Linked DNA regions of Ovis aries. The protein of the gene in region 1 binds, or shares a complex with, the protein of each later gene. Links are inferred from orthologs where the notes say so. Each region holds a gene or a part of one and is shown on either strand. Other genes may lie near its edges.

Region 1 (14,862 bases):
AGTGGGGAGCTTTTAAGAAGCAAGCTCCAACTCCAGCTTTCGGTCAGCAGATTTGGCTGGAACCTGAACAGCCACATCTTGGAAAACCCCACAGTAGAGACCGAGGGACAGCTATGCTTGGGAATCACAAACTCTGGAGATAAATCTCTTAGAATTGCCAGGAACTTCAAATGAGAACCTATTGTATAGCACAGGGAACTCTGCTCAGTGCTCTGTGGTGACTGAAACTGGGAAGGAAATCCAAAAGAGAAGGGATGTATGTATATCTGTTTCACTTTGCTGTACAGCAGAAACTAACACAACATTGTAAAGTAACTATACGCTAATAAAAATTAATTTAAAAATAAAATAAAACTGTGTTTAAGGAAAAAGCTTGAATGCAGGAAAAAAAGAAAAAAAGAATTGCCAGGAACCAACACCAGTCCAATAAAACATGCATATTCCTTTAACTAGCCTAGAACGAAATAAATAATAGTCTATACATGTACATCTTTTTTAAAAAAATGTAATTTCAGATAATTTCAAAACGGCCATAAAGGAGGAATAACATTGAACTAATTTAAAATAAAATGCTGTATCTTTCAATGCAGATGCTGAGGCTTGACTACAATACAAAAACTGATAAAGTAGTAAAATGCTTACATGTATTTATAATGCATGGGCTTCCCAGGTGGCACCAGTGGTAAAGAAACTGCCTGCCAATGCTTGAGACATAAGAGATATAGGTTCGATCCCTGAGTCAGGAAGATTCCCTGGAGGAGGGCATGGCAACCCACTCCAGTATTCTTGCCTGGAGAATCCCATGGACAGAGGAGCCTGGTGGGCTACAGTCCATGGGGTCACAAAGAGTGGGACACGCCTGAGTTACTGACACTTTCACTTTTATGCATGTGTGCATGTGTGTGCTCAGTTATGTAAAGTAATTATCCTCTAATCAGAAATTTTAAAAAAGGAAAACTCTGCCACAGAACATACACACACACTCACATACACACACACAGAGAAACTGGAACTCAAAATCTTTGTTGGATAATGCATCTTTATGGTATCTATTTTGGTGAGGTGCATTTCTAACTTTAAATATGAAATTATCTGCCCTTTAAAAAAAGAAAGAGAAAAGAAGTCCTTCATTCTTTGGGACTGTCCCACATATTGTAGGATATCCGGCACAGCCCTTCTCACTAACTAGCTTCAGCCACCACGAGCCATCCAACATCCCGCAGGACCCACCGTGCCAGGAGGAGGAGCAACCTTCAGACGTGATGCCTCAAACGAATGTGGCACTCGTGAAACTGTCTGCCGAGAAGGCACTTAAGAGCAAACACACCAGTTTGATTGTGGGAGCCATGCCCAGCAGCACACCTAACAGGCTGATCTGCAGATGATTCACTGAGTCCTTCATGTGCCGAGTCCCCCCAAAAGTTCCTTTTTTATTCCAGCAGAGCAGCAGCTTTCAGGTCTAGACCACTTACAGCCAGGGCTTTAAGGAGTTTTCTTTTTTCCTTTGAGTCATCCCCTTTGCTTTTCTGGTCAAGCTGCTGTGGACACAAGGACTCTCCCAGGATCCACTGTCATATTCGTCCTTCTGGAAAAAGAAAAGAAAAAAAAAAAGGCCTTACTTGAAGACTTTGCTCTGGAGCATCAGTGTCTTCCTTCCTCACTTCTCCGGGAACAGCTGGATGCGCCCCCAACCCAGTGGAGGTCAGCACCCGGGCGTGTGGCCCCGGGTCCTGCTAGTGTTTCCTCTGGATACAGGCACGTGCAGGCGTGCACTGCCGTCTCCATATCTGCATTCTTCCAGCTTCCCGAAGAGAAGACGGCATCATCTGGAAAAGTGACGAAGGGGTAACAAGGGTGTTCCTGCAGGATGGAGTGGAAAAGAGGAAGGAAGGAAAGAAGGAAGAGAGTGTCCGAGCAGAGCAAGAGGAGGAAGGAGAGCGCAGAAGCATGAGGCAGTGAGAGCCAGAGAGGGCGAAAGGCTGAGCTCTCTTCCCTACTGGGTGTCCAGGCGCTTCTGCTCCCCCTTCCTTTCTACCACCAGATTTTTCTCCATAGAGTCTTCCCGAGGCTCCCAGTGTTTGGCCGCAAGATTCAGAATACGTAGAAGCTCGGATTTGCCAACAGCGCTTCGAGCCTGGATAATGACATACAGATTGTTTTTTCCATCTTGGGGATTTGGAGCAGCCTGGGGAGTTGCAAAAGCCTGCCTTGTTGTAAGACCGTTTCTGAAGGCCTGCACTGTCTGATCACTGGCTCCCTGCTGCTGGGAACAGTGGCACAGCTGTCCAGGGTGGCAGGGACCACCTGGGGTATGAAAATTACCAGAAGCCGTAGTTTGGCTCTTGCCAGAGCACCTGAAGCCTTCTGGGAATTAGGATTTCTGTTGTTTCTCTCACTGGCCCCTTAGGAGCAATAGATAACAAACTGGGACCACTTGTGGGTTTTTTTGTCTTTTGTTTTTTGTTTTTTTCCTTGCCAGAAAAGCCCAGCAAGAAGATGGCTGCTGTTGTCGATTATTGGCATTCCAGCAGGACTGTATATTTATTTCTAAGTATATTCGCACAGCTAGGAAGCATCTGCCGACAAGGATGAGATGATAAGCTGTGTTGGTGCCAAAACAGGACTAGAAAAACAAGCTTGTTCTGAGAATGGCAGGTATCCGGAAAGTCAGTTAAGAAAATCAACCCTCTCCAGGCAGTAGCTGCTCTTATGACATTAACATTTAAGAAAAGGCGTGGAATCCCTACTTCTCAGGGAGAGCAGGCTGGAGGGAGGACCAGAACAGGAGGGGGAACCAGCAGTGGGAGGTGGGCTGCACTTCCAGGAGCCTGCATGCCAAGGCTCTGGCCTCCCCTGGCGAGGGGAGGGTGCTACGCGGGGTCTCAGCACGTCCACAGCTCTGTACTGGCCGCTCCCACCCCGGGCGCACAAGCAGGACGAGCAGGTGCAGAGGCGTGGAAGCTCCTCCGTCCTGTGGTTTCCTTGAACAAGAATGGGATGATTGGTGAGCGAGGCCAGCATCCTGGGTGGTAACAACAAAAAAAAAAGGAAATTGGTAGAAAATGCATCAGCCAAGTTGGATTCAGTCAGCTCTGTGGCCTGGGCAGGTTCCCAGGGTATTCCAGCCAGACGGCAGGGCTTCTGAGAGACACCAGGCTAGAATGTGTGTGATGACATAGGGCAGGGAGAGGCAGGGCCGTGGGGCTCAGCAGGGGCTGTCCCGGGCCCCCCAACCCACTGGTGTACACCCCCCTGGCCACCCGTTACCTCCGGGTCCACCCCAAGGCACTGGACATGTGCCCTTTTTTCTAATGGGCACAACCTTTCTCTATCAGAAACCCACAGGGAACATAAGTAACCCAGCAATTTCTTTCTCGTCCCACTGCCTGTCCACTGCTTGCTTATCCTGGGCTCTGTTTCCTTTGGACAAGAACACCTCCGGTTACCAAAAGCTACGTTATTCTATTCTACAGCCTGTAAGCCAGGAGCCTGGCCGTTCTGGTTTTGTTGTTGCTGTATTTGTTTTGAACATTAGCCGTTTCCCATTCTGGGCAGTTACAACTGTGTTTACTATGAGTTCCTCTGTGTGGGAGTTTTCCCCATTTTCATCCTACAGGCTGCGGCGTGAGCAATAACTCATCACTGCGCCACTGGCACAGAGTCGGGGATTCATAAACTGGGGGGCCTTTAACTTGAAAATACCCAGTGCGGATGAGGGGAGGGGAGAAGGAGAAATATATTTATGGGAGGGCCAGTGGGCTAATAAGACCAAAAATAATGTTGCTAAATAGATGTATATCTGGAGGTAAATACCGTGTCATCTGCTCCCTTCAAGGGGATGTGCTTTGAGCAGGACAAGTTGGCTTCTGCAGGCTCACTCGATAGAACATCCATCGCTGCAGTCTCGAGACAAGACTGCTCCATCCTGCCTTCCTTTTGCTTTCAATACTTCTCACCTCTTATCACTCACCTTCCTTGTCTCCTGAACGTCCAACTTTAAGAGTCCGGATTCTTTCAGTTGCAAGTCACAGAAATCCAACTCACACTATCTTAAGCAAACAGGAAATTTATGGATCTGTGTGTTAAAAAGGATATGATGGAAGCTTTAAGGTCCGATGAAAGAAGTAGGGACGAGGACTTTACAAGGGCAACCACGATTTCTCCCCTCCCCCTCCATCACCTCTGCGGGTTGTTACTTGGCTCCACTCAGCAGGGGGAGCTCCTTCTCCTGGGAAGGTGGCACTTACAAGCCCCATATCCTCATCCTCCAAGCACCTCCACCCTAGAGGAAGGAATTTCCATCGACAGCTTCGTATTTGTTGTTGTTGTTGTTGTGCTCACTTGTGTCCAACTCTTGGCAACCCTGTGGACTGTAGCCCACCAGGTTCCTCAGTCCATGGAATTCTCCAGGCAAGACCACTGGAGTGGGTTGCCATGCCCTTCTCCAGGGGATCTTCCCCACCTAGGGATCAAACCTCCGTCTCCGACATTGCAAGCGGATTCTTTACCATCTTAACCACCAGGGAAGCCCAAGGAAGCCATATACAAGCCCTGAAAAAGCTCTGATTTTCTAGTACGAGGCTAATACTATCCAAAGGAACCGAGTGACCAGATTGTCTAATTTTAGTCTGAAGACTATCTGTGGCTCTAAGAGCAGGGGTTTATGACCAGAAGAAAGGCAAGAGGGCACATAAATCCACACTTGGCAATGAAAACAGTGCTCCCCAGGGTCCCTTCGCCTTTCCTATCATAAACCTTTCAGCTGAGCCTGAAAAGTACGAAGGCCCCAAACCTGACCTGAAATGTAGCAGCAGATTAAGTCCTACCTGCATCACTTAATAAATCCCTTTTTCTCACTCTGTGCATCTCACCTAGGGTGTCACGTGTCTTCTGAGAGTTACCATTATAAGACTGGATGTGGAGTCGGCACATTGGGGTTATTCTCAATTCTGCTCTGTCCCGTCGAGTTCACTCCACAAGTTAATACAGTTTCTTTGCACTTTTGTTTCTTCGTGTGAAATGGAGGGATAATGCTGCCTTCCTGGAGCTGTCATCAGCGTTAACAGGATAGTTAGCATTGGCGAAAGTCCTGTCAGAGAAGAGATGGCTGGTACAACCGTCACGGCCCCAAGGCAAGCAGAGCCTTTCTAGGAAATCTTGATGACAAACCCTGGAAACTGGCTCACACACAGGAGGTGACATGAGTTTCCTAGACACATGCTCTCAGACATGTATATTCATGAGGATATTTGCATAGTTGCCTGGACCAAATAGATCCTCAGCTTCTCAGTGGTTGGGCTTGGAGGGTGGGGGCTTCAGAGGGGCACTGTCTCGGTATCACCCCACACACATCCTGGACCTTATCCTCTTTGAGTTTCTCTCTCTCTTCCTCTGCACATTCAGGGGTGTACACATTTCTGTCCAGCACTCTGAGGTCTCTGGAAGAGAAGGACCACATCCACCGCGTCCTGGACAAGATCACAGACACCTTGATCCATCTGATGGCCAAAGCAGGCCTGACTCTGCAGCAGCAGCACCGGCGTCTGGCCCAGTTCCTCCTCCTCCTCTCTCACTTCAGGCACATGAGGTGAGGCCTCCTTGGGTTTCTCTCATAGCAAAGATGTAAGGGAATCCAGCCAACCCTGTGTGGCAGCGGGCCCGGGAAGGGCTGATGCCTGCGTACAGATAACACACTTGGGGCAGTTCTGGGCCCATGATGAGCATGAACACCGTGGGAGGATGGTGGAGGGAGGCCCTGAATTTGTCCGGGGTGTGGGCGGGCGTCAGAGAAGGCTTCACAGAGGAAGCGCTAACTCACGCTCGGTTTGGAGCCCATGCAGCATCTTACATGGGGCAGAGTGTGCGGTGAGCAGGTCAGGGGAGGGGGAATCCTCTTTGGTTATTCACTTTGTCCCAGCCAGTCACGGGCAGTCTGTGAGCACACTCGTCCTCAGAGGGCACTGGGCACATCTGTTGCAGCTCCCGTGTCACACTCTTACTTATGGGTGTAAATTCGAATGAGACACTCTGGGTCCAAACCCCTCATGGACGGTCAGCCTCGACTCTTCTAGCCCTCTCAAACCATTCTTGTCATCCCCTTTGCCATGATCCAAGTCCGAGCCTCCATCATTTCCTCCAGGATGTCTGTCCCAGCTGCCTAACCTATCTCTCCAGATTTAATTTCAGAGCCATTAACAGCCTTTCTCATCTATTCTCCACAGTAGAGCCAGTGTGATCATTTTGATACCAAATCTGATCACACTGTTTTCCTACTTAAAGCCTTCAAATGGCTTCCCCTTGCTTTTAGATGAAAATATAAATCCATTTACTTTGCTTCCATTACTTTTTATCCTCTGCTGCTGCTGCTGCTACTCTTAGATGTTAAGTCGTCTCCGACTCTTTGCAACTCCAGGGACTGTAGCCCACCAGCCTCCTCTGTCCATGGGATTTCCCAGGCAAGAATACTGGAGTGGGTTGCCACTTCCTTCTCCAGGGGATCTTCCTGGCCCAGGGATGAAACCTAAGACTCCTTCTTGGCAGGCAGATTCTTTACCACTGAGCCGCCTGTAGCCTTACTTAACTTGTAGGACTTCCTGGGAGTCTAGGCTCTGGCCCTGATCAGCTGTTCTCTGAGTCAACGGGGAGGTGCTGCAGGCTGCAGGTTGGCTGCACAGCTCTTTTACTTCCTTGGACTCACACATCTGAAGGTCAGGTGATGGAAGCTGGGCACAGCTGGAGGCTCTGCGCCAAGCTGCAGGCCTGAAGGTCAGCTGGGTGACTAACCCGAGTACCTTTTGTCCTCCTTGTACCAACAGGAGAGCTGGGACATGTTCTCATATTGATGGCAGAGGCACCAGAGGGCGAGTCAGTTTGGTGAAGCGCATTTTAATCTTTTAGTTCAGTCCATGTGCATGAACATCCCACTGGGCAAGCAAGTCATACAATAACACCCAAAGTCAAGGATCATGGACACAGGGCAGAGAGTGACTCTTCCTGGACAGTAAGCTAGCCTGTCATAGCTTAGATACGACTCCTTGCAGGAAGCATCTCCTGACCCTTAACACGTAGATGGGATTTACACCCTGTTCTTCCAGATTGTTATTGCCCATTATATTATCTGTCAGCACCATTAGACTACAAATGTAAACTCTGTGAGGCAGTTCTCACAACCCGTTTTGTTTACTCTGTGGACCCAGTACCCCGAAGCATGGGGCTTGGCACAGAGTAACTATTCAATAAATATTTTCTATAGGAGATAAGAAAGGTTGATAGCAGAGGAAATAGAGCCTTTATGCACCAGAAGGCGAAAAGGGCCTTGTTTCTATTCTAAATGCTTGGCCAGGGACTTAGTGGGTACTGTTCCCATGAGCAGAACTTATCCTTCAGGGAACAGATGGAGAAAGTATTAGATTCTTTACTCCAGAAAGACCACACCTGCATGATGAAGTCCCTATGACCTTAGGCTTACTTCAGGCCTCCAGGAATGAAAAAGAGATTCTGTTTCTCAGTGGCTCTGAGGGAAGGGCCAAGGTGTCTGGAAAGAGATTAATTTTTTAAGGGGTCTTTAAACCTTGAAAAACTGTGAGTCAGGTGGCGAGAAGTTCATCCCATCAGAGTCCCAGGTGGCCCCTTTTCTGGAGCTAACTCCACAAGTCGTTAGCTTCTTGAGAAAATAAATGTGTCTTTCTTTCGTTGTAACCCACTCAGTGCCCTGTATGAAGTGTTGGATGCGGTATATGAGCATCACTTCATTACTGAGTGAAGGAGCTGTCACTCATGAAGGAACAGACAAATTACGTGAGGTTTTCCCTGTGAATCTGAAATTCAAAACTGACGGCTCTCACTTGTCAAAGTGAGTGCAGTCTGTGTTCCCAGGAGTCCCCGAGAATCCGGCCAGGTTAAGTAGATCATTGCATTTGGAGTATACATTTTCAGTCCTTTCCCGTCCATTTCTTTTGATGAATATTACACAGAGGGAAGAGGGGGATGGATCAGAATAACATAAGCCTCTACCAACTTTCCTGACTGAGAGAGTAGCCTTCCCCTTGAAGAAAATATATTAGCTTTATTCTGAGCTAGGAATTTGATGGAGAAACCGTGTATCACAGATGAAGGATTTTTTTTGTTGGTGGTGGTGGTTGTTGGAATTGCTGAATTTTCAGATCCATTAACTGCTTGTCAGCATTAGGAAGCCTCGTTAGTTAATACCAAAGTATATTTGCACTGAATATACAAGCCTTGCTACTTTTACTGGCAACAGGTGGCCAAGGGCAATGGCAATGGGAGTTTCTGTTTGAATTGTGTGAAGGGCTAAAGAGGAGTTGCTGTTCTGTTGCAAGCTTTGAGCTGGCTTGCAGACTCCCTCCCTCCCTCTTTCTCTCTCTCTCTCACCAACACTGACAACAATATTGTGGTGCCTCATTACAGCCAATCTAAATTACAGAACTCTGTTGTGTTAAGCTTGGCCCCGACCATATGCTGTCATGCAGAGCATTTAACACCAGATTTCATCTCACGGTAAATGTGATTCATGGGGTTGCAAGAGAAAGACGGTGTCAGATCCAGGGGCATTTAACTTTAACAGCATTTTAAATTAAAACAAACTCAAAAAAAAAAAAAACCCCACAAAATCCCACTTTAAAACGTAATTTTGGTGGCTGTTATATGGCTCGAATTGCTCTGAAGCCTGATTGTTTTCATGGCATGCCTCCAACAAGGGTTGACTTTCCCCTGACTGAAAATGCAAGTAATTTTTAGGAGGCTCTTGGCCTGCCTCCTTATGATACACGATTCTTTTAAAAGGAATTTCAAGGTAGATAATAGTGTTTGGGTTTGTTTGTTTGTTTGTTTGTTTTTTCTCCTGCTGGTGATGTGGTGGAGGAGACAGGCAGAAGTGTGGCTGGTGGAGCAGGACAGTAGGGGAGAGTGGTCAAAGGAGAAAGGCCATTTGCCTGCATTTCCCTGTGTAGCCCATATTTTCTGAGGGTTAACCATGTTCTTGCCACTGTGCTAGGCCTAACGGGGTGGACAAATTGCTACCCCTCGTGGAGTTTGTACTGTGTGTGTTAGGTCTGTGTGTGTCTGTGCTTGTGTGTATGTGCTTGTGCTTAGGGAGCAAGAGTAAAAATACAGGGACTTCCCTGGTGGTCCAGTGGTTAAGAATCTGCCCTGCAGTGCAGGGGACAGGGGTTCAAATCCTGGTCGGGAACTAAGATCCCTCATGCCGCGAAGCTACTGAGCCCTGTGCCACAACTAGAGAGTCTGCACACCAGAACCAAAGATCCTGCATGCCGCAACTAATACCCAAGGCAGACAAGCACAGGTGCTTTAAAAAGAGTAAAAATACACATGTGCATAAATACGTACATAGAAGGATTTCAGGTTGACATGCATGCTGGGAGGAAAAGGAATGACGTTGAAAGAGGCTGGCTAAAGCCACGGGGCCTTGAGCCCTCTGCCCTTGGGGTCGTGGCAGGTCTCTCAGAACCGGTGACACCCGGAGATCTGAGAGAAGTGCCTCCAGGCAGGAGCGGGGAAGAACCAGTGCAGGTACCCTGAGTCTAGGCATAAAGAACTTGGTGTTTTTAAGGGGCAGCATGAAAACTCAGCTGGCTCAAGGTATGGGTTAGGGAAGAGGGACAAAGTCTGAGAGGTGGGTGGAAGGCATGTCAGTCGGGCCTTGCATAGCACAGACAGAAATTTAGATTTTATTCTGAGTTAAATGAGAAGCAGCTGGACAGTTGTGAGCAAGGGAACTTCTTGAACTGTTCTGCATATTTGAAAAGTTCCTTCCTGGACCTTCTTAGTGTTTAAGACTCCATGGTTCCAATGCAGGGGGCCTGGGTTTAATTTCTGGTCGGGGTACTAAGATCCCACATGCCAAGCGATGTGCCCCCCCACTCCACCCCCATAAAAAAACCTCTTTCGTACTTGGTGGCTGGGCAACCCACTCCAGTGTTCTTGCCTGAGAAATCCCATGGACAGAGAGAGGAGCCTGGCAAGCTACAGTCCATGGGGTCGCAAAGAATCAGACACGACTTAGTGACTAGATGAAAACAACAAACACAACTGTTCTCTTTTTAGATGTAGCAGTGATAGAAGAAAGAAAGTCACCTGTATAGTAAACCCTGAACTGGCTCTTGAAGCAGGAGGAAAGTTTGGCATATCAGTGTCCTGGGGCTTTTCTTAGTTGCCCTTCCTCAGCGTCTCAGCCATCCTGGGTCTGAGGCTGGTCTGAGTGGTCCTGTCTGTGTCTCCCCTCCTGCAGCAACAAAGGCATGGAGCACCTATACAGCATGAAGTGCAAGAACGTGGTGCCTCTCTACGACCTGCTGCTGGAGATGCTGGATGCCCACCGCCTGCACGCCCCAGCCAACTTCGGGAGCACACCCCCGGAAGACGTGAATCAGAGCCAGCTGGCCACCACTGGCTGCACTTCATCGCATTCCTTGCAAACATATTACATCACTGGGGAGGCAGAGAATTTCCCCAGCACAGTCTGAGAGTTCCCCGGCTCCCGGCCCCCACCCCCCACCGCCAAGGTTCTGAGAATCCCTGTTGCACTTTACCCACATCATGCATCACTCTAGCCGAATTCTGCCCCTGCACACACTCTTGGCATGCACCCACCACTGGCTTTCTGGTATGGATGGCCATTCATTCGCTCGCTCGGTTCTATGTGGCACGCCTTGTTTTGGGAACAGCCAAAGGGATTCCAGGGCTCATTTCTTTGTAACCGTTCTCTCTCTCTCTGCCTTTGCTACCTTACTCACCACGAGGATTCACCTAGCGCTTCATGACTGAGCTCGGTCTCCGAGCTGGGTTCAGGTGACTGTGCACTTTAGCTACTTGTGACCCAGGCCTGGAGAGTGGACATGTCACCTCCATGAACATGAAGCACTTGTTAACGGATCTGAGCATCAGCCACAGGAAAGAACTGGAAGTGGCTCCTTTAATTGCTGACTTGGAGAAAGCGAGGCCTAGGGTTCATTATAATGTCCTCTTGTATTCCTATAGGTCCATATCATTTTATTAAAGCTTTTTCTCTGTTGCATGGCTGTAGCAGAATATTCAGTGATTGTCCACCCACTTCCCCTATAGGAATACAAGATGCACACAGGGAAGGAAGGCCCCTAACTGTCAAGACTTTGTCAGCTTAGTACACTGCCCCTTCAAATTTGCTAAACGCTTTACCATTGAGAGCACTAAATATATATAGGTCGTGGGTTCCAATTAATTCTCGCTTCCCATGGATCCATGGAAAGCAGCAAAGTTGATCCCAGTTAAGTAACCTCCACATCCACCAGTTTAGATAGATACTTGTCTTTTGTTTTCATTTTCATTTTATAAAACCAAGCCTCACCTCCCCCTTCTCCCCCCGCCCCTCACCCCAGGACTTGCAGTAAATGGGCTTCAGGACCTGTTCTAGTGTGATCTCACTCCTACCAGCAGAGGGCGCTCTACATGACTCTTCCTGGTGTGTCACTTACAAGGTGAATTCCTAGTGCCTAGGCTGTGAAAATCCTTCTTGGAAAATCCCATGGACTGAGGAGCCCGTTAGGCTACAGTCCATGGGGTCGCAAAGAGTCAGACACCACTGAGCGACCTCACTTTCACTTTCAGGCTGTGACCAAGGGCAAAGGAGCAGGCACTCTGGTGACACTTTTAGCCCCGGGACTGTGGGCTTAATAGTAAACGTGCATGATTCTTGTAGGGGCTAGAGACCAAAGAGGGGCAGAAACTGGATAAAACTGTGAGGCTCAGGATGGCCCTGCCACAGGCTGCAGCCACTTTGGAGTGCTACGGGCTGACCCCACAGTGTAGTATGAGGCTGCCCTGGGGTCCATGGAGGGCTGTCCTCCTCCTCCTCTTCCCTTTTGTGCTCCCAGTGACCCTGGTTGGAGGCAAGTGCTCCTTGGGGGAGGAGAGCCAGCGTTGGAGCTTTCTGAACTCAGCCTGCCTGGGGCCTGGTCAGACCACACCTGCCCTTGGTTATTTAGAGCTCATGCAAAAATCAGGGTTTAGCCTCGAGGGGGGAGGAAAAAAACCAAAACTTCTCCATACTCTGTTTCATTAAACTTCCTAAGCCAAGAGAAAAAGACTAGAATTGGGCCATAGGAATCCATTGGACCTATAGATTAAACAAGAAAAGCTCACTAAACAAGAAGCAGCTTCCCTGGGTCTTTGCGTCTCTAAAGCAGTTATGAATTAGTTCCCCTTCTCAGCTATAAAGAAAGTTTGGTTTCCTCTGGTGACCACACTGTCTGTAACTCGAACCCTGTTGATAGGCAATGTGTTAGGCAACAAGCCCAGTCAAGGTTCTAGGGCTTCTCTTGGGATGCCTGTTTCAGAAGTGGATTTCACTCATCTGATTACCCAGTAAGTGACCACCAAAGGGCTGGGAACCTGGGAAGTCCAAAAAAATAAAAAGTTTTTTCACAAGTGCATCTAAATTTGGGGGCGATTTTATGTATCTGCAGTAAGAATGTTTAGAACATAATTCTTATGTTGTTTTTGTTTAAGAAGCACCTTATATAGTATAATATATATATTTTTGAAATTGCAATGCTTGTTTATCAGACAACTGAATGTAGTGATTCTGTTTTGGATTTAATTTGACTGGGTTAACATTCAAAGCCAACAAAAAATATGTTTACTTTTTTGGTATCACTACCTTGTCATGTAGTCATTGATGCCTAAGGCCTGGTGATTATTCATTTAAATGATGATCACATTTTCATATCAACTTTTATATCCACAGTAGATGAAATAGCACTAATCCAGATGCCTATTGTTGGATATTGAATGATAGACAATCATATGTAGCAGAGATTATGCCTGAAAAGGAAAATTATTCAGGGCAGCTAATTTTGCTTTACCAAAATATAAGTAGTAATATTTTTGGACAGTAGCTAACGGGTCAGTGGGTTCTTTTTAATGTTTATACTTAGATTTTCTTTTAAAAAAATAAAAACAAACAAAAAAATTCTAGGATTCTAGATGATGTAATACCAGCTAAATCCAAACAATAATCCAGCAGAGGGTTTTACATTTTTCACATAAGATGTTTGTACTCATGTAAAGACACTATTACATTTGAAATGGGCAGAGAGCACCAGATGGTTGGTATGTTAGCCCAGGAGTTTCAAGTAATTTTAGAAATCTCTTATTCTTAAATGAAGTGCCACTGATGGAGAGCTGATACTTTGCAGCTGATGTTACTCGGATGTAGGGATATGCTGTATTCTTCCCCCCTACTCTGATACAGTTTAAAGTTTGAAAGACAAGGTCAATCAGAGAGGGAGTGGATGGGTTAGTAGAATAGAGTGGGGAAATGGGTTTGGGCATTTTAAGAATGAAAAATATCGTGATAAGAGTCTTGAAAACATTTTGAGGCAGATCAGCACTGGCACTTGGGGTGTGCACCAGGGTTCAGTATTTCACTTGTGTCCCGTTCACCACAAATAGCTGTATATGACAGCTGATCCTATAATGGCAGCTCGAGTTCTGGGGCAGAACTAGAGGCATGTGCAGTACAGTCCAAGAAATAGCTAGTGGTCTGTGTTTCTTTTAGCCATCGCCTAGCTCCAGGCTTGCAGTAATGATTCTGTAATGCTGTCACGGAACAATCATAGAGGTTAGTTCATCCAAAGAGAAGACCCTACGTAGGTTGCAAAACCCAGCCCCTGAGGAAGTGTAGTCATTGATTCAATTTCCCTATTAACCTTGCAACTATATTTAACCATGCCATAGCCCGTGCCTTTTGAGGGCTGAACAAATAAGAGGCTAACTGATAATCCAACTTCTGCTCCCATTTAGATGTTCTTGCTTTAAAATCTTTATACGCTGAAATGGCTGTTGGTTTAGGCCACTGGTTTAGACTATCCCTACATGAAACCAATCCCAAATCTCTTCCTAGTCATACTCCCCACCTCTGAGATGGACTGTGGGTACTGGGAGTGATCACTAGGACTATAGTTAACGTTTGATATTCACAGGCAGATTTGCTTCTGGAAACTAGTTATTAGAAACACATGTAGAGTCATATGTAGCTTCTGAGACAGCCGTGATTCTCTTGGGTTCAAGTCTTGGGATGATGACCCAGATGACGCTGCACACTTCCTGGGTGAACTTCCTGAAAACTTACTGTCAACTGGAGCAAATGACTTCAAGTGCCGTCCCACATATCCACCTTTTCATAGTGTTAGTCTCTGTTTTTAATTGCAGTTCCTTTCCATTTGGATTAACGTGAATGTGGCCTCCTTCTAAGTCACTGAAAATTGTTTTCTAAGTAACTGCTGCCTCTATTATGGCACTTCAAGTTTGCACTGTCTTTCAGAGATTCAAGAAAAATTTCTATTTTTTTTTTCTGCATCCAAATGTGCCTGAACTTTTAAAATGTGTAAATGCTGCCATGTTTCAAACCCATCTTCAGTGTGTTTTTACAGAGCTGTGTACCCTGGAAACCACATACAGCCCCATGAACAGGTGCCTGAGGCACGGACCCCTTTGCATTCACAGAGAGGTCATTGGTCATAGAGACTTGAATTAATAAGTGACATTATGCCAGTTTATGTTCTCTCACGGTTTATAAACAGCGCTTTTTGTGCACTATGTATTCTTCAGTGTAGAGCTCTTGTTTTTACGGGGAAAAGCTCAAATGCCAAATTGTGTTTGATGGATTAATACGCCAATGCATACTATTATTGATGTGATTCTGTTTTGTTGCAGCTTTGCTTTGTTTAATGAAACACACTTGTAAACCTCTTTTGCACCTTACAAAAAACAAAAAAGAATCCAGTGGGATGCTCAAGCACCTTAAACAATTTTCTCTACCTATTTGATGTTCAAATAAAGAATTAA
Region 2 (14,862 bases), on another chromosome or scaffold:
TCAGGGCTGAAGTAGTCAACGCAAGCCGTCTAAAGAGGTCTAGTCACCTTTCTCTGTTCTCCTTCCTCTTCTCAAGGGCAAAAGTCCTAAAGAACCTCTCCTGAAACCATTTCTTCCCTCCCTGTCGGAAATCTAAATGCAGACAATTTTGGCCATAGAAACAGTAATATGACGGGAATACACTGTTCGTTTCTCTGGTTCGAGAAAGCCTGTGTAGCTTCTCAAGAGACATGCCCCTAACAGAGTTTTCTCTTTTGGACCCATATGATGCATGGAGCTGGGTATGACAGATGTGTAGGCTTCAGGTGCCATCCATGGCCAATGCGTGGGTGTTAAGGGTTTCCTGCAACTGCTCCAACCTAGAGGCAGAGGTGCCTGTAGTTTATATTAAGCAACATCACTCTAGACCAAACTAATCTCCAGTGTGGATGGACTCAGATAGGGGGTGCTGGAAGCTCTCCTTTGTTCCATCTGTGAAGCCAGGGCTTGATGTTTGGGACTGATGTATCAGGAGACTATCCTGTCCTTTAAACAGATAACGGCAAAGCCATGCTTGGCAGAGCTGTAACGTTAAAGTCAGAGCTGTAACGATTTCCACTGGTCAACTGACTGGCCTTTCTTGAATTACTTGTATATTCCTGAGGTTAAGAAAAATCCTATAGGTCTGTGAAATTTATCCCTAGTTCACTACTTTAGCATACTGTCCCTCCAAAATGTGCTGTTTCTATACTGGTATATTTCAAAAAAGGACAGATAGGGAAGGAGCTTATATAGTCCCTACGTACGTCTACAGTCAATTCCCAGCAATTAATGTTTTCCTTTGAGTGAAAGAAACCCAAAGATTTCCAGAACCACAGCTATGCAAAAAAGCAAATTTCTCAGCAGGACCTGGGTTGTTTCTTCTATGCGCACTCTGAAATATTCTTTAATAACAGCTCTCTACCTAGCAGGACTTAACAAGCAACTGTTCTCTTAACTACTACCTTCAGATCCTTAAATGCAGGGGAAATATTTTGAAATCTGGCAGAATTAAAAAGGGGATTTAATTCACTCAGAGTTTCATGTCTGCCACATGCAGCTAGGGAGGTTATTGGAAATTTTAAAAAAAAAATCAGTGTTAAATAAGTAATAAGGAAAGAGATGAAGTCACACTCAGCCTACTCAGGAAATATTGCTGATCCCAAATGAGAAAGTTCTTCATCTTCGATTGTGAAGCCATTACAGTTAACCTGCGGTGAGAAAGGGGAGAGAGAGAAAGGGGGAAAAATGAGCTAAAGCTTCTTTCTGGATAGAAATCACCTCTTTAGCTGGGAAGACGTTTGGTTTAGTGATCGGAACACCTCTTTTGAACAAGGTATCCTACGTTCAGACACTACTTACCGAGCGGTCTCACGTGTAAACAGATACAAGCTGAACTGTCAAGTCTGAAGCATCTAGTCCAGCCCACCTGCCCGTGGTGGCGGAAGGTCACAAAGCACCACTAAGGCTCCAAGGACTCAAGTCTGCAGAGCTGCATGGGAGCCCGGACATGTCACTCTAACCCCAGTTCTGCCCCAGGTCTGGAGTGGGATCTCAAGCCCGTCACTGTGTCCCTTCTGTGCTCAGTCTTCTTCTGCTAAAAAAAGAAGCCACTTGATCTGGTACCTCGCTCATAAGGTGAGGTGGTACATCTGACAGGCTTTACACAGCTAATCTAACTGCTGTCCATCCCCTTGAGAGGCAGGGAGACCAAGACCCTGAAGCTAGGGCGCTGCGAATGTCCCTTCCTGCCTCAGACACATCAACCACTGGCCACCTACTCATCTGTGGCAGGAAGTATTACCCTGAAAATCACCAAGGGCAGCTCTCAGCATCCCAGAAGTCAAGCTTAGAGCTGGTGGGCTGAAGATGAAGACTATACATCTCCAACTTTAGGCTGTTCCATAAACTCACTCTTTGCACATTCACCGAGGAAACCTTATATGCTGGGCGCTCTGCAGAGAAGGAAGACCAGGCCAAATCTGCACCCTCCAGGAACACCCAGGCCACTGGGAGACAGCTCAGTGAGGGTTTTTCATTTGTACCTACAACTTCACAGCTGGAAGGGAACTCTGTCCCTTTACTTCTCAGATGATGAAACTAAGGTCAGAGAAGGGCAGTGACTCGACCAAAGCCAGCAGCAAAGGTTGAGAGCCCACCTCTTCCCGTGCTGCTAAGAGGCTGTCTGTGAAGCATGCATGCTGAACAATTCCACCCCGTGAGCTGCAGTCAGGCTCTTCCCCATCAGACACACAGCACGGCTGTGTTTCAGGCCAAGGGATGAGCTTTGTGAAACACTACTTTGCTGAGCGCTTAGTCCAGACTACCCACTGGGCTGGGTGCTGCACATTGACCCTCCCTCAAATCTACAATACTATCCCATTTTACAGATGGGGAAATTGAGGCCCAGGGAGGTCAATGATTAAGTAATGCAAGGCCATATAAGTAGCAAGTGGCAGAAAAGGAGTCAAAAGTCAAACTAGGCATTCTAATAGTGAGGCTGTCAGAAACACAAGTGTGTCTTTTCACCATACCATGCTTCTTCTAAAATTGTTCTGATCTCTGATTCTTCTGGTTGTAATTTTACTTAAAAGCAAAGGGCCTGTGTCAAAGGCTTGGAAATCTTGGTACATAGAGAAGTAAAGAATCCGATGGGTTTGACTTACAGCTTTAACCATTCGATACATTTACAACCAGTATTTACGATTTTCAACGCAAAAAGAGATGACTGCAGTGAGTAAAACAATATACAGTCTTTGGAATCCTGAGGTGTCAGGCATTTTTATGTAGAAAACACAGCATACTGTGTTTTGTGTGGGCCTCAGGTACTCTAACCTCTTCTGTCATCAGGACATTCACCAACCATCATTCACCAGGGACCACCAACCAACATCGGGTTAAGAGTAAATCAGGATTTTCATTCATTCAGCTAAATTTACTGAGGCCTGAACTATGCGTCCTGCACCTGACCAGGTACTGAGGGATCTATACGCAGTCTCGGATTGGGATACTAACATGCCTCGGCCGTGTCTGGTTCCCATAGGACAACAACAAATTTTGCAAAGTGGAAGAAGGCGTGTAAGAATGTAGCAATTTTCACAATGGATCTCTGGACTGACAGCTCCTGACTAGCTCTGAAGGGTGAGGGCCCCAGACATGCGCCTTTGCTTTGTAATCTCTTCCTCTGTAAGGACCGTTTGTAATTCCAAATTCCTTCCGGCTTGATGTTCACGCCCACGGGCCCCTTTATTCCCTTTCCCTGTCCTCTTACTGTGAGGGAGAGTGCGTTTCCACCACAAAGAAAGACTCCTGTGAACGCAGGTGTCATCGGGGAGCTGGCGGTGAGGTTCAAGCCTAATCGCCTAGCAATTTGCTTGCGAGCCTTCCCTCCCTTCTGAAAGATCCCTAGGGAAGAAAAGTGAACTTGCCTGTTAAGAAAGATGCATAGGCCATCGTCTTTTTTTTTTTTTTTTCCGAGTCAAATCAGGCGTAAGTGCCTTGCTGAAGCTATTCTCATAATTAGCATTTAGACTAGATGTAGGCTGCACACCAAAAAAACATTTCCCAACCATGCATATGCTCCTGGTGATTAAAATGCGCCTCGGTGCTGTCGAAGGAGCGCAGTCACCTTCTGCTGCCAGCTGCTGCTGGGCCACGAGTTAACCCACAACAGCCTCCCACGAACCAGACAGGAAAGGGCTCCAAGGCCAGAGGGGAGGACATGCGGGGGGCAGGGGGAGGGCGCTGAGCAGCAGGGCCAGAGGGGCTGGGGCTGGGACAGCGCTTTCCACCTGCGCTTCAGAGTTTTCTTTGGGGATACCGAATGTCCCCTTTCAAATTTGTATGTGAGAAAAGGCATGAAGGTGCGTGTGTATGTACATCGGTGTGTATGTGCACCGTCTCAGAGTGGATATTATGATTTGATTAATATGAAAGTCAAAGTCACTCAGTCGTCGCTGACTCTTTGCGACCCCATGGACTGTATAGTCCATGGAATTCTCCAGGTCAGAATACTGGGGCGGGTAGTCTTTCCCTTCTCCAGGGAATGATATCTCCATTAATTATATTGATTAATATAAAGCCTTTGAAAAAACTACTTACCTATATTTACATATGTGTGTGCGTGTGTCTGTATCTATCCCCTGAATACTCTAAGTCAGTCCAAATTTCAAGGACTCTGAGTGACTTTCAGCACAAATTTAACAGTTCTATTTTTGACAACAAAGGTCCATCTAGTCAAAACTATGGTTTTTCCAGTGGTCATGTATGGATGTGAGAGTTGGACTGTAAAGAAGGCTGAGCACTGAAGAACTGATGCTTTGGAACTGTGGTGTTGGAGAAGATTCTTGAGAGTCCCTTGGACTGCAAGGAGATCCAGCCAGTCCATACTAAAGGAAATCTGTCCTGAATATTCATTGGAAGGTCTGATGCTGAAGCTGAAACTCCATTACTTTGGATACCTGATGCGAAGAACTGACTCATTTGAAAAGACCCTGATGCTGGAAAAGATTGAAGGCGGGAGGAGAAGAGGACGACAGAGGACGAGATGGTTGGATGGCATCACTGACTCGATGGACATAGTTTGAGCAAGTTCCGGGAGTTGGTGATGGACAGGGAAGCTCGGCATGCCGCAGTCCATGGGATCGCAAAGAGTCGGACACAACTGAGCGACTGAACTGAACTGATTTGTGACATCAACTGCCTTGATTTTTGGTAAGTATGGTCCCATATCTACAATGTCAACACTGAGAAGGCCCATCAGCATGCACCACTCTGTTGCTGGAAGTGAAAAGATACCTTATGTTTACTTCATCACTCTTTCTTTCTCACAAAACCATGCCTCATCTAATCCAGAAAAGTCATATATCCAAGTTTTTCTAAAAATGTAATAGGAGAAGTCAATTCCTCCACTGTGTACTGTTACCCAAATCCATTGCCTTAGCATGGGTAGGGAAATACGCTGTAATCCCAGGATAATATAATGAAATCAGGAAGGTTTTTCATTATGTCTAATTTAACACCCATGACTTGAACCCATTTTCTCTTTTACTGAGAACAGCATTTTTTTCTGATTATGACAGTCATATAACAAAAAAAACCCCACATAAACATAAAGTCTATTAAGGAACTCATCAAACTGTTCTCACTAGTTCTCACTGGGGGATGAAGTAGGTCAGTGAAGTGGTGAAGACTCACCTCTTTCCTTATAGGAGCAATTTTTAAAGTGGGAGAACTATGGGTGCTTTTCATCTTCTCTTCTTTTCACTATTTTCTTAAGTTACAATACTCACTGTAGAAAATCCAGAAAAATCACCCCCAAAAAAGTAAAAAGTTTCCACGACTCATGAGATAACTAATGGTGAACTTCCATTTAAGCTTTTTTTTTAACCAAAGTAAATTTTCATATTACATATTTTTCCCCGGCTTTTACACTTGACGTTATGTCATCAGCGTTTCACATATCTTTGCTCTTTGAAATATAATTTATAAAGGCTATATAAACTTTAATTGACAATCTAAGCCATGATTTACCTAATGACTACTGCTGACCATTTATAACATGTATTTCCTTTGCCTTTTTCCCCTTTCTTTTTGGTTTCATGTTTTTTAAAAAGAACCACACAGCAAACAATTTGCATGTCAATTTTTGTCCATAATTTCTGACTACTTCTTAGGATAGAGTCCTAAAAATGGAATTAGTGACTCAAAGAGTACCGAGGTGATGCTGACTCTCTTCTAAGACGACAGTGTGTAAGTACCCACCCGAGCTTTTTCTCCTGTCTAGACACTGAAGGCAGGGGAGTGTAGCGACTTGCGCCCACAAAACAGTATTCCAGTGTTTCTCCCTCTGCGAAGGTCACCTTCAACTACACATTCGGCTTGTAGGGGAAAACACAAGCGTATGTTAGGGAGAGAAATCTGATCTGGTGAGTCAGGCCAGGAAGAGCCACCCTCACAGAAACAGGAGGAAGGATGCGGCCACACGCGTCCAGCCCAGGGTGCTGACCACATTGTCTTCTCCTGTCCTGGCCAAGTCCAGCCAAGCCTCAGCCTTTCCAAAAGGTTGGTCGTCAGTTCCTTGATGCATTTAAGTGGCTCTTGTCTAGAAGTCTAATTTTTTTTTTTTTAATCCTATCTGATTTTGGTAAATCTAGGCTTCTAGTCTACACAGGATTACTTAGCAATCATCGGGAAAGACCTACTGTACCTAGACCCACTCAGGCTCCTCTCTGTGATGTCTGTCCTTCCTGGCCATCTGTATTTGCCTCTGCTTTATCAACACAGTGTTGGTAAGAGTAAAAAAAGAAAGAATAAAGAAAAACAAAAACCTACAATCCACTACTGTCAGACGGGAAGGTTTAAGAGAAGAGTAAAATTGAATGTAGGAATCTCAAATGGTCTTTCCATCCAAAGGTGTTGCAGTCTCCCACAGTTCTGGGACCCTGGCAACTCTGTTTGCATAAACTCTTTCTGCAGCAAGAGGCACAGGGAGGGTGGATTTCCTACGCTCCACCATCGGTGAGGGCCAGCACAGACAGGACCCTGATCTGCTCAAGGTCAGTTTAGGCAAAACATGGACCAAGATGTCAAGAACTGTATCAGGTAGGCATCATTCTGCTTTCATTCATCTTCACCAGCTATGTGCTGGGAGAGGGACACTGGCAGGGAAAGGCTAAACTAAGTGTCGCCTGACACTCGCGTGCTTACCTGGGCAAAGAGCACTACTAGGCTATCGTTGTCGGGGAACTCAAGGTGCTTGGAGTAAAAGTGATGGAGAGCAGCAATGTCACTCTGAATCAAATCCCTCTTCTCATTGTCTAATTTATCCAGATCTGTGGATAAACAAACCATTATTCAGCACGTAGAAAACTCTGGATCTCTAGCTATACATCCTTTCAGTACTATCAACGGCATAGAGAGAAAGAAAAAAAAAAAAAAAAAAACACGTGGAGCCCCCAGGAAATATTATCCCTCCTCCCTTGGTCTAACTAATAAGCCCTAGGGCAAAAAGAGCATGCCATTTCTTCCTTCTCTTCCTCTGACAAATGGAAGTCACTCAGGACAGGGAATTTCAACTGACCATTAACAGTGAGGTCAGGAATAGTGGCAGTGACTGATAACCAGCCTTGGTCTAGTCAAGGGTCCCCCAATTGGCCCCAGAGTCTGTATCATGATGGAGAAAGTGGACAGCCCCTGATTTAATGCCTCCAGTAAGGACATCAGCTGTGTACAGGACTGCAATTCAGCAAAGATCCAAAAAATATTCAACATGCCAGGAGAGCCAGCAAGAGATAGCTCAGGATGTAATAATTTATCCTGCAAGTTCGCACTTCCCCTTAATTATTTCCTAGCAATCCTGTCAACTGAGGGGGCGGGGGGAAGTTATAGTCCATTTTCCAAAACAGCACACAAGTCAAAATAAAAACTGATAACTATAAAATCCCCACCACCACAAAGAACCCAGCTATCCCTTCCTTCTTTCAATCCTGTCTAATCCACAGAAAACATGTGGCTGAAATAATTCCTCAGCCAGTCACAGACAGACTTACGTGACTCAAACTCCTTCACGGCTAACAATTTCTCTGAAGGTGTTCTCTCTGGGTGGATTTTCTAGTAATTGGGGAAGAAATCACACAGTTACAGACGGCAACAACTTGTGCAAAAAACAGTGCTTTCACGCTTACATCAACATGAAGAAAAAAGCAACGGTTCTAAATGAAGTAAAGAGGAAGCCAAGGATTCTGCCATTTGGGCTCTGAGAGCATTTGCCCAACGTCCAAACCCAAAGGACTCTTTTGAAAAGCTTTTAAAAGCATCGGCTGCGTTCCTAACACCCTGATAATGCTATGCACACAGTAGGCTCAAAAATGCTTGTTATGGGAAAGAACAGTGGCTAGAAAACAACTTTTTAGGGCCCCGACTTAAAAGGACCGAGTCTACAGATGAGCCATCCCATTTATTATCTCTCCTTCTAAAAAGGAACAAAATCAACACCCCCCCATCCATTTTACACTTTCTTTAAGCATAGGCTAAAATGATCTCAAATTCCTGCGTTTCAAAAAGAACACTTTCGGTTGTATCCGTGAGCCGAGATTCACTTGAAACGTGTTGCCGGCTTTGTTCTAGACACCCCAAGAGGAGCTGACAATAGTAAATCCGCCAGGCTTTGAGAACATGAATAAACTTGGTGTTGACAAGAGTTCAAACGCAGAGCTCAAGAGCCGGCCCAAGGCCGTGTCTTTGTAATCGGGCTATTCAGCTTGAGGATACAGGTGGTCCACCCAGGCGTGCTCACCTCCCTAGTTAACATGTTACGCTTCCCCTCGGTAGTTGGGTAGCCTGTCCCCCTCCTGAAACCTTTGCAAGTGACTAGAATACAAATGGTCTGTTTTTTTAATCATTAAGTCCTACAGAGATAAAAAGATGGCCAGGTAACTTTTCATTTAATAGACTATTAGTGGTAGCAGTAATTATAATAACAGTTGAATGAAACTGGTATAAACTCATCATAGCTTTCAGACTACCCTCCTGGGGCCAAAACATTTCAATAGTTCTTTTTTGGAGTGGAAATCTTCCCATTCATAGGATCCATTTCTATAAGATTAGTAAGTCATTTTGCCTGGGAAAACTTTTCATTCAGAAAAGGGCACCAGCTCCTTCTGAATTCTTAACCACCACACTTTCAATAATGTCAGGAGATGGGGCCTGGGGAGAACCAGGAGACTGGTCACTCAATCCTGGCAAGGTGCTTACGGATTGAATCTGATGGCTTATTTACCCTGACACCTTGGTGGCTCAGACGGTAAAGAATCTGCCTGCAATGCGTGAGACCCAGGTTCGATTCCTGAGTCAGGAAGATCCCTTCAAGAAGGAAACGGCAACCCACTCCAGTACTCTTGCCTGGAGAATCCCAGGGACAGAGGAGCCTGGTGGGACTACAGTCCATGTGGTCGCAAAGAGTCGGACACGACTGAGCAACTAACGCACACCCACATACACTCACCCAGTCACACCATTTTCTCCTACCCTTTTCTTCCGACCAAGTACTTGGCCTGTATTTAAAGACAACTGTGAGCAAGGAACCAAAAGTTAACCTCCTCCAGCGAAAACAATTCTGACTTTTCGTTCCCACTCTAAAGGCCAGCCTTGAGTGCCTCTGGTTACCCTGAGCGGGCGAAGTGGCATTTCATCAAGCACCTGACCCAGGCTGAACATAACGAAACTATGACCTCAGAGGTTCAAAATGTTCTACTTCTGTTTACGAGGTCGAGGAGCCTAACTTGGTCTGGGGACAGATTTGAGTCGACCATTATGATCACGTTTGGTTTCGATCAAAAAAAAAAGAAAACAAAAGTTTTTAAATGGAGGGAGGTGTGGTAAGGGAAGACAGAAGGGGCAGATGAAATTTCAGCTTTAAGATTTCCAGTACAGAGGCCCTGCCCGCAGCTTATCACTGGCAAGCAGCTCTGTGGACATTCGCCTTTCAAGCTCCGTGCAGCCCATTTCACCGTCACAAGGACACATCTTGTGGCATTTTCCTCCCCTCCATTTAAGCTGGTCCTGTCAAGATCAGGTGTCTTATTATCATGCAATCAGTACGGGACTGAGCCAAAAAGGGGTCAGGACAGCCAGCCCTGGCTTCATCTTTGGAGGAAACTGTTGATGGCCACATCGTTCCCACCCCACCTCCCCGGCCTTGATTTTTACTTTTCCACTCCTCTTGTTTCTCTCCCAGCAGGTGCCATGCTGGTTATCTCACCCCATTCCCTGCCCGCCGAGGCAGGACAAGTATGGAGACAGGGAAGAGCAGGAGCCAGCCCAGGACGGGGGGTGAGGGGAGGTGGCAGCAGGGGTGCATGCTGTAAGAGAAGGAAAGAGGGGACCTCCCAAAGCTTTGAAGGCCAGTCTGGTTCCCTAGGACGCTCTCATTACTGTCACTCAGGTTTTCATGCCCTGAGAGGCCGTATTTTTCTATGCAAACCTGTCTCATATAAAAGCTCAGAACTTAGCAGCGGCTATGTTCCCGGCCGGGGATGAGTGACATCCTAGGTGCACAAGGCAGACAAGCCAGCTCACTCCTGGAGCCTTGCACTCATCTCTGTCCATAGGAACGTGACGGGAAATGCGGTCCCAGAATGCTGAGCGAGAGATGATCACCACGGGTCACTCACTCATCTTTCTGACCTCAGAGTAAAAAAATAAAACACACTTGAACCTGTTCCCAATTCCTCACCTGTTTGGCCAGAATCCTTGCTGTCAACCTTACAGTCTCGGAGGGATTCCAATTTTCCCCAAAAACAACCATGGGAGAACATTCCAGCTTGTGCATGGGCCAATCTTCTCTCTGGGAAAGTTAAAAAAAAATATATCACACACACACATGTGCATGCACGCACACACACACACACACACACACACACAGACACGGCAATAAAGTTCGAAACAAGAGGATGCAGCAAGTTCTCCTAGTTGAGGTCAAGTGAAATATGTTTCCTTTTGGAAAACACGACGGTGCTCACAAAAGTTAGAGACGAAAACATCCTTTAAGATAGACGTGGCTGTATGACCTTGACTCAGGCCTGGCTGAGCTTGCTGGCAAGAGAAAATCTGCTTTGTGTGGTTTCCTCAAGCATCTCACGCCCCTCACTATTCCGAACACCACGCACACCTTTGCATTATCTGTGGACGCTGTCATGCCAGTCACGGGGTGAGTGACTTGGGTATCAGCTGTTGGTCTGGCTCTGCTCCCTACGGTTCTGGTCTGGTTCTGTTCTCACATGAGGGCAAATAACTGAGAAGTGACATCCACAGCACCTCATCCTCTTCTATGGGTGATAAAATCCTACCAGAGACGAGGGCTTGATCAAGGACCCGTGAAAAGTCTGGCCAGGGCAACTCTCGGGAATATTTAGGACACAGACTCCCTGAAAAGTCACTGGATAAAAGAGGAAAACTGGACGCCTTTCTAACACCGGTCTCAATGCTTTTTGCCCCAGGCTGCGGGGTGAAGGGCATGTGCTCACTCCTCGAAGGGTGGAGATGCCCCTTTCGCGACGGGAAGACTGGGGAAGGAGGAGGGTGGGGTGCTGGGGAGGAATGCACTGAGGACCGGGGCGTAAAGGACGATGCTGGTGCTGGTAACAGGGTCAGCGGGGGATGGCTGGGAACTGGCTGAGCCACTCAGGCTCTGATAAAAACCAGCTGTGGTGGTGCGATGGGCTTGGCCGTGGGAGCGGACTCAGTGGAAGTCTGCAGACACTCCTTGCTGCAACGGAACTGGGTACCATTGTGGGCTTCCCTCTGCCTCTCCTGCCTCAGAAAGGGGCAAGTCTGACTTTTCCAATGCTCAGGCCAGAAACCTGGAGACTTCCTGGCCGCCTCTCTCTCCCCCACACTCCATGTTCACCTTTCCAGTGAATCCATCCTGTCTGCCTGCAGAATACACTCAGCCTCTGATCATTTCCCACCCGCACCTTCCTCACTGGGTGGCAGACCCTACACCTACGCCGTGACGGCTCCCTCTGCCTCCTACCTGGACACCTGCTTCTGCCCCCTCCACCCCCCACCCCACCCCTAGCTCCGCTCCAGAGAGCAACCGGAGTAATCGATTCTGAAAAACACAACTCAGATCCTGCATTCACGGCTCAGCATGCTTTAATGGCTTCTCCCCTCGGAGCAAAAGGCCAGGCTGTAATGATGACTCACGAGGCCACACGTGGTAGGAGCTGACTCTCTGCTACTCTGAGCTCATCACCCCCACCACGCTCCCCTACCTCACTCCACCCGGCCACCATGTCTCTTCGCTGCTCCCTGGAGCGACCACGCTTGCTCCTGCCTTGAGAGCTTTGGCACTTGCTGCATTTCCTGGAGAGATACCTCTTCCCCAGACGTCCTGTTGGCTCCCTCCCTCCTCCATGTCTCTGCTCTGATGCCCCTTTTCAAGGTACCCTCCCCAAACCAGTGCTCTCCCCCCACCACTCTCCCTTTTCCTTGCTTTATGTGTCTACCTGACATATTTATTACACACTGATTAGATGTTTGGTTTACTACGTTTTCCCCCCTGCCCCCACTATTCATCTGCCCAGAACCTAGAACTGTGCCTGACAGTCACTAAGCACTCAATAAAGTTGTTGAATGAATGACGATGTCTCCCTCCCCACGGCCAAGAAGGAAAGACACACTGTCACTTAATGATTTAATGCAGCCCCCGTGGCACAGACCCTGGGCTCAAGCACTTGCCAAGGTGTTCTGCAGAGTTAAATAACAGCATGCCGAATATAACCAAGAGCAAGAAGAGACAGAAATGACAAGATATACACAAGGGAGAAGAGGATCTGTTTTTAGCCAAAGCCTAAAACGAGAGCTCGGTGATGAAGCAACGAGGTAGGAACAGGTAGGTTCAGCTCCCAGCAGACAAACCGACTCCGCACACAAATGCAAAGCAAAAAGGGAAAGACAACAAGGGCTTCTGGCCCTGGGGCATCCGAAGGAAGTGAAGAACGCTAGTGGGGGACAGACGGGCAACTGACGCCTATGAACACACACAGGAATTTCACTGTGACCCTAGCTGTGCTAAGAAAAGGTGTTTGCATGGCCTTAAACATGCTAGTTTCCTGAAGTATACATGGTGTCTTTGGCGTTTAACAACGAGCTTCGGTGAGAAAAAAGTTTAACATTTCTTAATATGACTTATGTGTTTTTAATACAATTTAATTAATACGAATATAAATAAATAAATACGAACACACAATGCTGACATCTATTGATGTTAATGTCCTCCAGGGAAGAGAACCTCACTACAGCGCACGCTGTGGGGGAGAGCAGAGCTCTATTTAGCAAGAGGAGACTGGCCTGGGGCTCGGGGAGACCTGCATTCTCACCCCACCCTCCAGCGAAGCAGCTATGTCACACCAGACAGTCCTCTTAATCCCTCTGCCTGTGTATCCTCGGCTGTAAATAACATGATCCCTAAGTTACTTAGCAGGTCTGGAATTCCGAGTCTACGATTGTATGCCTTCCAACAGTGATAATCAGACACAAAGCTTGAAGCCTACCATTATCAGGCATTCATGCAACCACAAAGGGTCGTTGTGAGGATCCAATAAACAAGCTAACCCACAAGAAGCACTCAGACCAGTGCCTGGCACACAACGTGCTCTCAACAAATGCTGGTAATTGTTCATGTCCTGGTTCCTTCATTCATTCAATAAGCCCTTGATGACCCCAGAGGCAGGGATGGGAGATGGAGTCTTTGACTTCAAGTCGTTTATGACTGTATCCGAACACAAAGAAAAGCAAGAGCACCTAGAATGTAATGAAGACCCACACAGAGCAGTGAAATCAGAGAGCTGGGTAAATTCAAGGACCGGCAGCATTATGCTAAGTTTCATCAGGGGAAATTTGTCAGCTAGTAAGAAGTTTTCCTTTTCTGTCAGATGGTGGAAATGTCAGAGACATACCAAAGTGGCACTACTTGGCTTCCAGTTTTCCTTCAAAATTTAAGCTGTTACTCTTTTAATGGTTGCAATCTTTATAAAACTTTATGAAAATTCAGATGGATCCCATTTTCTAGGAAAGTAATATATTATAAACAAATGCATAGGGAAGATTCAGAAAGACACATGCCAAAGTGTTACTAGCGGTTTTCTCTGGAAGGATAAAATTATGAAGTATGGATACTCTTTCTGTTCCTCTTTCAGTCTGAAACTTCTGATTTTTCTATAATGAGCACAGATGATTCATGCAATAAATTTAAACAATTAAATCTATGTAAAAAGTATGAGAGGGAATTTTTTTGACACCCTTTTAAACTTCTAGTTCATTTTCAGCCACTGTAACCACAGCTCTGCATGACTTTCCTTTTTGTGCGTGTGTGGACCGAAATGCTTAAAGATGCATAAAGAGTTGAAAAATTGTCTCATGGTACACCAGCACTTCCAACGCTGGAAGAAAAGAGTGATTGTTATGTCAGCCAGTTTTCTGCTGAGCAAATGATATATTGTCTCCCTGTATAAGGAGACTGGATTTTTATTGTGAAATCCCCTTTTCTAACTCCTGCATTTGGTGTTACTCTTGTTCTAAAGGGGCTTTCAATTTAGACCATAATTTCAGGGGAGCTATTTCAAATCCTGAAAGATGATGCTGTGAAAGTGTTGCACTCAATATGTCAGCAAATTTGGAAAACTCAGCAGTGGCCACAGGACTGGAAAAGGTCAGTTTTCATTCCAATCCCAAAGAAAGGCAATGCTAAAGAATGCTCAAACTACCACACAATTGCTCTCATCTCACACGCTAGTAAAGTAATACTCAAAATTCTCCAAGACAGGCTTCAGCAATATGTGAACCGTGAACTTTCAGATGTTCAAGCTGGTTTTAGAAAAGGCAGAGGAACCAGAGATCAAATTGCCAACATCCGCTGGATCATCGAAAAAGCAAGAGAGTTCCAGAAAAACATCTATTTCTGCTTTCTTGACTATGCCAAAGTCTTTGACTGTGTGGATCACAATAAACTGGAAAATTCTGAAAGAGACGGGAATACCAGACCACCTGACTTGCCTCTTGAGAAACCTGTATGCAGGTCAGGAAGCAACAGTCAGAACTGGACACGGAACAACAGACTGGTTCCAAATAGGAAAAGGAGTACATCAAGGCCGTATATTGTCACCCTGCTTATTTAACTTATATGCAGAGTACATGAGAAATGCTGGGTTGGAGGAAGCATAACCTGGAATCAAGATTGCCAGGAGAAATATCAATAATCTCAGATATGCAGATGACACCACCCTTATGGCAGAAAGTGAAGAACTAAAGAGCCTCTTGATGAAAGTGAAAGAGGAGAGTGAA

The links.
Region 2: the proteins of ESR1 (region 1) and SMYD2 are in contact, whole or in part, in a crystal structure (PDB 4O6F), measured with the Homo sapiens proteins. The link is inferred for Ovis aries from reciprocal best matches to the Homo sapiens genes ESR1 and SMYD2. Residues at the interface, in NP_000116.2 of Homo sapiens: Gly262, Arg263, Met264, Leu265, Lys266, His267, Lys268, Arg269, Gln270, Arg271; in NP_064582.2 of Homo sapiens: Leu148, Val179, Asn180, Cys181, Asn182, Gly183, Phe184, Thr185, Glu187, Leu191, Ser192, His193, Ser196, Ala203, Ile214, Val215, Ser239, Tyr240, Ile241, Asp242, Tyr245, Arg253, Tyr258, Ile302, Arg306, His341, Tyr344, Leu379, Asn380.

What each region holds. Positions count from the first base shown.
Region 1 is NC_056061.1:76,876,908-76,891,769, forward strand, and holds part of ESR1 (estrogen receptor), read left to right. Parts: exon of another isoform or gene 1-1,585; intron 1,586-3,970; exon of another isoform or gene 3,971-4,075; intron 4,076-5,403; coding exon 5,404-5,587; intron 5,588-10,267; coding exon 10,268-10,502; 3' UTR 10,503-14,862.
Region 2 is NC_056065.1:68,714,063-68,728,924, forward strand, and holds part of SMYD2 (N-lysine methyltransferase SMYD2), read right to left. Parts: intron 10,364-14,862; coding exon 10,253-10,363; intron 7,630-10,252; coding exon 7,569-7,629; intron 6,852-7,568; coding exon 6,727-6,851; intron 1,230-6,726; coding exon 1,162-1,229; intron 1-1,161. UniProt on the Homo sapiens protein: Protein-lysine N-methyltransferase that methylates both histones and non-histone proteins, including p53/TP53 and RB1. Specifically trimethylates histone H3 'Lys-4' (H3K4me3) in vivo. The activity requires interaction with HSP90alpha.